Linked DNA regions of Caenorhabditis elegans. The protein of the gene in region 1 interacts with the protein of each later gene in a pairwise test. Each region holds a gene or a part of one and is shown in the gene's direction. Other genes may lie near its edges. The genes, in order: T28C6.3 and Y25C1A.7.

Evidence for each region.
Region 2: the proteins of T28C6.3 (region 1) and Y25C1A.7 interact in a two-hybrid assay, tested with the Caenorhabditis elegans proteins (one large-scale study listed by BioGRID).

What each region holds. Positions count from the first base shown.
Region 1 is NC_003282.8:8,818,668-8,821,934, forward strand, and holds T28C6.3 (uncharacterized protein), read left to right. Parts: upstream 1-1,673; 5' UTR 1,674-1,688; coding exon 1,689-1,741; intron 1,742-1,947; coding exon 1,948-2,497; 3' UTR 2,498-2,598; downstream 2,599-3,267. Other genes in the region: T28C6.10 (Transposase), read left to right, coding at 126-205, 248-422; T28C6.5 (RING-type domain-containing protein), read left to right, coding at 2,864-2,880, 2,987-3,267.
Region 2 is NC_003280.10:3,067,929-3,073,045, reverse strand, and holds the start of Y25C1A.7 (Yip1 domain-containing protein), read left to right. Parts: upstream 1-1,983; 5' UTR 1,984-2,008; coding exon 2,009-2,027; intron 2,028-2,096; exon of another isoform or gene 2,097-2,103; coding exon of another isoform or gene 2,104-2,152; intron 2,153-2,432; coding exon 2,433-2,503; intron 2,504-2,825; coding exon 2,826-2,972; intron 2,973-4,475; coding exon 4,476-4,674; intron 4,675-5,117. Other genes in the region: Y25C1A.8 (Zinc finger Ran-binding domain-containing protein 2), read left to right, coding at 1-166, 1,445-1,571.

The sequences.
Region 1 (3,267 bases):
ATCTATGTTATTCTAGCCTGCTGTCTGCCTACCTGTCTTCCTACTCATTTCCTATTCACCATTGTCTCCCTTAACCTCTTCCTAAAACTCAAAGCGGTTTCTTTTGACTTACTATTAGAAAAATTATGAGGCCGCAAAGAAATAGCAGAGAAGATCAACTACAGGAACAACTAAATAAAATCAAACGGGAATTGGACAACTACAAGTGAGTTGACATTGCGTTCAATGTTTAATGGGAAACTTCCAGACTTGAAAATTTTCTGTTGAAAGAAGAATTAATCATTTCTCAAAGTGCCATTCTGTTTGTGGACGATCAAAATAAGAAACTTGTGAAAAAGTGCCAAACTCTGAAGAAAAATGGAAAGCCTAAAAGAATGGGAATACTGGGATCTTTTACAAATTGGATTAAGTCTTTGTTTTGAAATTATACAGTTTTCTATATAACGTTAAATAAAATAAATTAATACATCCATTTGAAAAAATTGCTAACGAGTAAAAGTATTCGGTATAATGTTTGTGAAGTAAGCAGTTTTTCAATTCTATTTGCTACTGTTCAAAATCCGTAAATTTGTAAAACTGCGAGAATAAAAGGTATTTGAATTTTATTGTGCTTGCAAATAGTTCTAATTAGAAATGAAAAATCTTGTCCTTTTTTTTTTTGAAAATTCCAGATATGCGCGAAAATAAAGTTTTAAAACTTTCGCATCTATAATGCACTTTAGCTGTTCCTTGGATCATAAAAGTTAGCATATCTGATGCTCTGATTTTCTCTTGCATTATATTCCGGGATTACTGTGATTTCTTCTCACACTTTCAATATGTTATTCTCACCAGATTGCCATCAACCATTCCATCTAAAGAAGAAAAGAGCCTACTGCCGGCTGCTGACCTTCTCCATCTTTTCTCCCTCTGTATATCTCTAAACGTTCTCGTTGGTGCAAAGATGTTTGATTATCGACCCACCAAGAAGAACAAGGTGACCCGCACTCACTGCCCCAAGCCCTGTTCTTAATGATTTGCAAATAATTGCACATCACGCGGTCATCAACTCTCGCATACACGATCTCATTCATCTCAGTTTCGCGCATTATTTTGTATTAGTCGTAAAGTGCTAATGTTTATTGTTTTATTTTGGGTCTAATAAATATCCAAATAACAGATTAAAAAACCTCAACAGAGCAATTGATCAGAGAAACTTTTAACTTCACATAAATGTGTTAACTATTTATTTTTTTTAATTAAAATGTAGAAGTTCAAGAAGGAAACCTTTCTGTATAATCCGAACGTATAGGTAATTTTTTTTTGTTTCATCCACTTATGAAATTCTCTAATTATTTGTGTAAACATCTTACCGTTTTCGATCGAGGCTTAAAATCACATCTGCCACATCTTTTCTTTTTAAACAGAATCTGGTCTTTTTGGTTCTGTCTGTACGCCGTACAGGACACCTGTCCCATAATCTTGTATGTATGTTCATTAAAATTCTATTTGCATTTCCAATGCAATCCTATTTTTGTGTCACTCAGTATTTTTTGGGAATCTCTGGGTTTTGTTGTTCTAATTAGTACTCTCATCATAACTTTTTAGAAAAAAATCATTTTGCAAATATTTTGTATGCTTTGAATATTTTCTACTTCTTTTCCAATAGCTTTCAATTAAACTTAAAAAATTACAGAATCAAGTCAACAATGTCGAACATTTCTGAGACTGCCATAAAAAACAACAATAATCAGGAACTAGGGTTAGTATTTTTGCTATTAAATTTATATCTTTGCTGATCGATGGTCCATTTGCTATTTGGTGGTCCATAATTTAGATTTTTTTAATAATAGAACCAAAATTTTATGAATAAAGAATACTTTAAACAAACTTAGTAGAACTTGTAGCACACAAAAATAAGCACACAATTGTCGTGAAATGTACCTTACTATTGCATACAAATTTTAGTGGTGCCACAAAGAGAAACGAAAATGATGCCACTACGTTTACAATGCCAATAGGAATCCAAGAGAAATTGGAGATTTTAAAGAAGCAAGATGTCCAACTCCAAGAAGCTCTTGACATGGAGCTGAAGTTTCTGGACACCAACGAGAAATTATTTGTCAAGACTTTACATGATGCTCAAAAGTTCCACCAAGAGCCCACTACTTCGTTTGCAGACGAATTGGAGGAGAGTGTATTGTGCGAGTCAGAATCAGAATCCGATGCTTTGGATGAATCAGAGTCAGAAGACTCTGTAGTCAACGAATACGTGAAAGAGAGTGACGATGAAGAGGATGACGAGGACAAGGAAGAATATGAAGATGAAGAAGGCAAATCAATAATTGAAAAAGAAGCCCTCACAATCAGCCCCAACTCATGTAATTCAAAGCACACCAGAAACGTCACCAAAACGAGTCAAAGTTTTAACGTTTTGGTATGTATTCTGGTCTTGGGACTGTACATTGGATCGTGGCTGCTTTTTGGACTTCCAAAACAAGAATCCCGGGAACTCTAATTTCGTTTAATTGTTTTTTTGTTGATTTGTCACCTGAAGTTGTGTTTTCAAATGATTACAAAAATTTTTTGCACCAGTCACTTTTAAAGTTTTTATTGAAACAGCTTGCCAAGTAACACATTATTTTTGGGTGCTTAAATTCAATTGGAGGGAAATGGTATTTAAAATTTTTGAACCTCAAAAGCACACTAAAATACGTGTTTATTGTAACGTGATTGTTTTAAAAAAGGTTTTTCCACGTTTTCACATTTTTCAAAAAAAAATGGGAGGGGGAGGCAATTTGAATCAATTTTATTTCTCAATTTCCCTAATTCGTGTGTCGTTCGGAAGCGATTTGTTAAAAGAAAACAGAATCGATTCAAAGAAATGGGAGCAAATGGAATGTGAGTTTGGGTGTGAGTTGTCTTTTTAGTTTAATAAAATCTAATTTAAAACATCAGTATATCTAGAGAATCACAGTACCAAAAGCTACAAACATATCATTTTCAGAGATTCGGAAAAGTTTCGCAAGCAATTGTCTCATTTGTTCACAACTTCTTCTCCAAAATGCCCCAGTTTGTCAAAAAACTTTCGTGGTCGTCAGATATCAAAAGGCTTTGTCCCATCATTGTTACAATCTAATAATGCATTTGAAATCAATGTTAAAGACATCAAAATAACTACGTCAGTAACAATGGAAGGTGTTACTCATCATTACTCGGTTAGCTGGATGGATGTTGAGAAGGCTGAAAAAGATATGTCAAGCTCCGGATCTGATGAACCTGGTATTA
Region 2 (5,117 bases), on another chromosome or scaffold:
AGGAAAAAGATCGTCGAAAAATGCACAAAACATCACGAGAAAGGGATCGTGAAAGCCATCGGAAACGGAGCAACTCACCGAGAGATCGTGATAGAAAGAGAGGAAAAAGAAGTCGGAGTAGAAGCCGAGAAAGAAGTTATCGGGATGATCGGAGAGATCGCAAGAGGTGCGGAAATTTGCTGAAAATTGGCTGAAAAATCGCTGGAAATTCGTCGAAAATTACCCGAAAATTCACCGAAAATTGCCTAAAATTCGCTGAAAAATGGATGAAAATTCTCTAAAAAATGGCCTAAATTGGCTGGAAAATCGCTGAAAATTCGCCAAAAAATTACTTAAAAATGGCCGAATTTCGCTGAAAATTCGTCGAAATTGAATGAAATAAGAACTCCCTGAAAAATGGCTGAAAATTCGCCAAAAATTCGCCGAAAATTCCCCGAAAATTCGCCGAAAATTCCTCGAAAATTCGTCGAAAATTCCCCGAAAATTCGCTGAAAATTCACCGAAAATTGCCTAAAATTCGCTGAAAAATGGATGAAAATTCCCTGAAAATTTCCTGAGAATCCTTTGAAAATTCCCTAAAAATTCGCTAAAATACGCCAAAAATTCGCCGAAAATTCCCTGAAAATTTCCTGAAAATTCTTTGAAAATTCCCTAAAAATTCGCTAAAATACGCTGAAAATTCGCCAAAAAATGGCAGAAAATTGCCGAAAATTCGATGAAAATTCGTTGAAAAATCATTTAAATACGCCAAAAATTCGTTGAAAATTCGCTAAATTTAGCAGAAAATTCCCTGAAAATTCGTCGAAATTGTGCCTAAAAATGGAAGAAATTTGCTGAATATTGGCCGAAAATTGGCTGAAAATCGCCAGAAAATTAAAAAAAAATTTGCCAGTTTTTTGCTGTAAAATCAGATTTTTCGAGCTCAAAAATGCGAATTTTCATGAATTTTTTGCCATTTTTCCTGTAAGAAACCTTCGAAAATTGTGTAAATTTGCTAGAAATCAACGAAAAAAGTACAAAATAACTGCCGGAATTTTAAATTTTCAGCTCAAAATGTGAATTTTCTGAGAGTTTTTTAAAATTTTTTGAAGCGAAACCCTCGAAAATCGTGCAAATTTCCTAAAAAATCGACGAAAAAATACAAAAAAACTGCCGGAAAATCGATAAATTTGCCAAATTTTCGCTGAAAATTGCTCTAAAATTGGAATTTCGAGGTCAAAATGCGATTTTTCTTGAATTTTTCCAAATTTTCTCGGAAAAAACCGTCGAAAATCGTGCAAATTTCCTAAAAAATCGACGAAAAAATACAAAAAACTGCCGGAAAATCGATAAATTTGCCAAATTTTTGCTCAAAATTGCTTTAAAATGGGATTTTTAAGCTTAAAAATCGATTTTTTCCGCACTTTTCCCCGTTTCCAGCCAAAATTCCCCATTTTTTTTGCAGATCTCGTTCTCGCGAACGCCGCCGTTCCCCGCCACGTGGCACCACCAGTGATAGACGCCGAGACGACGAGAGACGCAGAGAAAAAGAGCGACGAAGAAGCCGATCGAGAGACAGATTTCGACGATAAAAACGCTAAATTTCGCCGTTTTTTCGCCATTTTTTCACAATTTTATTGATTTTTTCGCTCTAAAACCACCAGTTTTTCCGTTAAAAATTGCTAGTTTTTACCCAATTTTTCCATTATTTTATTGATTTTTTGCTTGAAAATTCTCCGTTTTTAACCGTTTTTTTTCCACTATTTTATTAATTTTTGTTGCTCAAAATCCCGATTTTTTCTCCGTTTTCTCTTGAAAAATCATCTCAAAATATCGAATTTCTCACGGTTTTTATCATATTTTTGTGAAAAATTTTTGAATTTTCTCTGTAATTTTATTGATTTTTCGCATTTTTCTGACTTTTTCCACACGGTTTCTAGCCGATTTTTATCTATTTTTACCTATTTTTTCTCGAAATTTTACAATTTTTAATATAATTTCTAGAAACCCAACAACGTGACAGCCCGAAATGGATTTAAACTTTCAAAGTGAGTTGGCAAAATTTTTTAAACAAAAAAATACAGTAGAAAATTGCGAAAAAAAATTTATTTTTCGATTTTAACAATGGCTCAACCAGCGCCGCCTTCGCAAAAATGGGAGGATGTTAATCTTGGTAACTAGGATTTTTAGCTCGAAAATTGGCGATTTTAAGCCGGAAATTTGGATTTTTCGGGCTTTTCCGGTCCTGAAGCCTGAAAATTTGGCGGAAATCGCATTTTTTTTCGCGAAAAAATTAGATTTTTGCTTTTTTTGGTGTAAAATCTAGGCTTGAACAAAGCTTTTTGTCCTGAAAATCCAGAAAATTCCGGTTTTTTCACTCTAAATTCACAAAATAAACGGGTTTTTTGGCCATAAAACCCTCCAAAAATCCTAAAAAAACCCAAAAATTGCAGATTTCGATAATGTGAACTCGACGAACGAGCAATCTGGAGCATTTGGTGGAAATATTGGCGATCGCAATATTGTGAGCATCTGGAAAAGCTGAAAAATCGATTTTTTGGACTATTTTCACTGAAAAAATCGATATTTTATTGATTTTTTAACCAAAAAATCGATAATTTGAATTTTTTTTTGTTAAATTTCACTAAAAAATCGATATTTTATTGATTTTTTACCGAAAAAATCGATATTTTATTGATTTTTCACTGGAAATGCTCAAAAAATCAATAAATAACCCATATTTACGTGAAAAAATTCAAAAAATCAATATTTAGTTGATTTTTCTGTGAAAATGTCCAAAAAGTCGATAATTTATTGATTTTTTGTCAATTTTTCGTAATTTTCAGCTCGTCGGCGGAAGTGTTGGAGCAACATCGTCAGCAGCTCCATCTGGCGGAGTTTTCGATGATTCCCAATCGACTACTTCCACCAGAAAGGGAAATTTCTTCTCTTTTGAATATTATCAACAGTTTTTCGATGTCGAAACTGATCAGGTAGAGGAAAAGCAACAAAAAACTGGAAAAATTGAGAAAAATTGCATTTTTCACCCGAAAATTCCAGAAAATTCGCGAAATTTTGATGGAAAATCGGTGAAGATTTTTTGAAAATTTGGATTTGTCAATAAATTATCGATTTTTCACGAAAAGCGCTGAAAATCTCGAAAAATTGTAGCTTTTTTTCGATGAAAAATCTCTGAAATTTTGGAATTTTCAACAAAGAGTTTTGACCTATTTTCCAGTGAATTTAAAACCAAAAAGCCGATTTTTTGCTAAAAATTGACCAAAAAACGGGATTTTTCATTAAAAGCCTGTGGAATTCGGATAAACACTCGTTTTTTACCCGGAAAAACCGTCAAAATTGCCGAATTTTCACCTATTTTCATCTATTTTTCAGCCGAAAAAGCCTAATTTTGCCCAATAAACAGGCTTCATCATGGAAAAAAAAACGCCTAAAATTCCGGAAAATTTGAATTTTTTCGGAAAAAACTCATTTTTACCCGGAAAAACCGTCAAAATTGCCGAATTTTCACCAATTTTCATCGATTTTTTGAAATTTTTCCCCCCTTGAAAAATCGATAATTAATCGATTTTTTTCAGAAAAATTGACAAAAAATTTGAATTTTTACCGAAAAACGCTGAAAATTAAAAAATATCTCGAAAAATCACTGATATTTTGCAATTTTCAACCAAAAAAACTGGGAAAAAACCTCAAAATTCTCGAATTTTCACCAATTTTCATCGATTTTTCGGGCCGAAAAGCCCTAATTTTTGCCAAAAAAGCAGGGGATTTTTCATGGAAAAAACGCGCCTAAAATTCCGGAAGATTTGAATTTTTTTCAGTTACAAACCACTGAAACTTGTGTATAAAAATTCCTTTTTTTGCTCTGAAAAACTGCCAAAAATTCGTCGAATTTCACCATTTTCCAGCGAATTTCCATTTAAAAAAAACGGGATTTTTCATTGAAAATGTGGGTAAAAATCTCTGAAATTCGGAAAAAAATTCATTTTTTCCCGGAAAAATCTCTCAAAATTGTCCAAAAACCACCAAAAAAATCATGGAAAATTTATGAAAAATGCTCGTTTTTTCACTGAAAACTGCTAAAATTTCGCGAAAATCCCCCGAAAAAATTGCTCAATTTGATTGATTTTTCAAATCAATTTTCCCCCTGAAAAATCGATAATTTATCGATTTTTTTTGCAGGTTATCAAACGTCTGCTCATTTAAAATTTTCGTTTAAAATTCGCTGAAATTCGTCGAAATTGTGCCTAAAAATCGCTGAAAATTCTCTAAAAAATGGATGAAATTCGCCAAAAATTCACTAAAATCCGCTGAAAATTCCCTGGAAAATGGCCGAAAATTCGCTAAAAATTCGAAATTAAAATAAAATAAAATTTTTATTAAATTATTAAAATAAATTATTAAAATAAAAATAAAATAAAATTTTCATCAATTTCCCCCCCCCTGAAAAATCGATAATTTATCGATTTTTTTTGCAGGTTATCAAACGTCTGCTCAACAGTGTCATTCCAACCCATCGTAACTATATTCAAGACTTTTTGCAACCAATTCCCGACCTTTGGGGACCATTTTGGGTGTCTGTAACTCTTGTTTTCGCTATCGGAATTTTTGGAAATTTGGCACAATTTATCGAAAATGACGGAGCCAAGGGGACGTATGGATCCGATTTTCGAATGGGTACGGAAATTGGACAATTTCCGACGAAAATCTGGAAAAACTGGAAAAATTGTGGCAAAATTTGGAAAATTTGGATTTTTTTGCACTAAAACTGCAAAAATCGATGATTTTTCCGCCCCAAAAATGTGTCGTTTTGTGGTTTTTTTTTGTTGCGATTTTCCACTGAAAATGGAGCAAATTTGCTTACATTTTTTTCTGAAAATATCGATTTTTTCCCTATTTTTGGGAATTTATCGATTTTTTAAAATTTTGAGAAATATCGATTTTTTAAAAAATTTTTTAGAAAAAATCGATTTTTCAGTTTTTTTGAGAGATTATCGATTTTTTTCAAATTTATTCAAAAATTATATTTTTCCTAATTTTTTGTGAAATTATTGATTTTTTTTTTCTAATTGGAAATTGTCCCGAAAATCTGGAAAAATTGAGGCAAAATTTGGAAAATT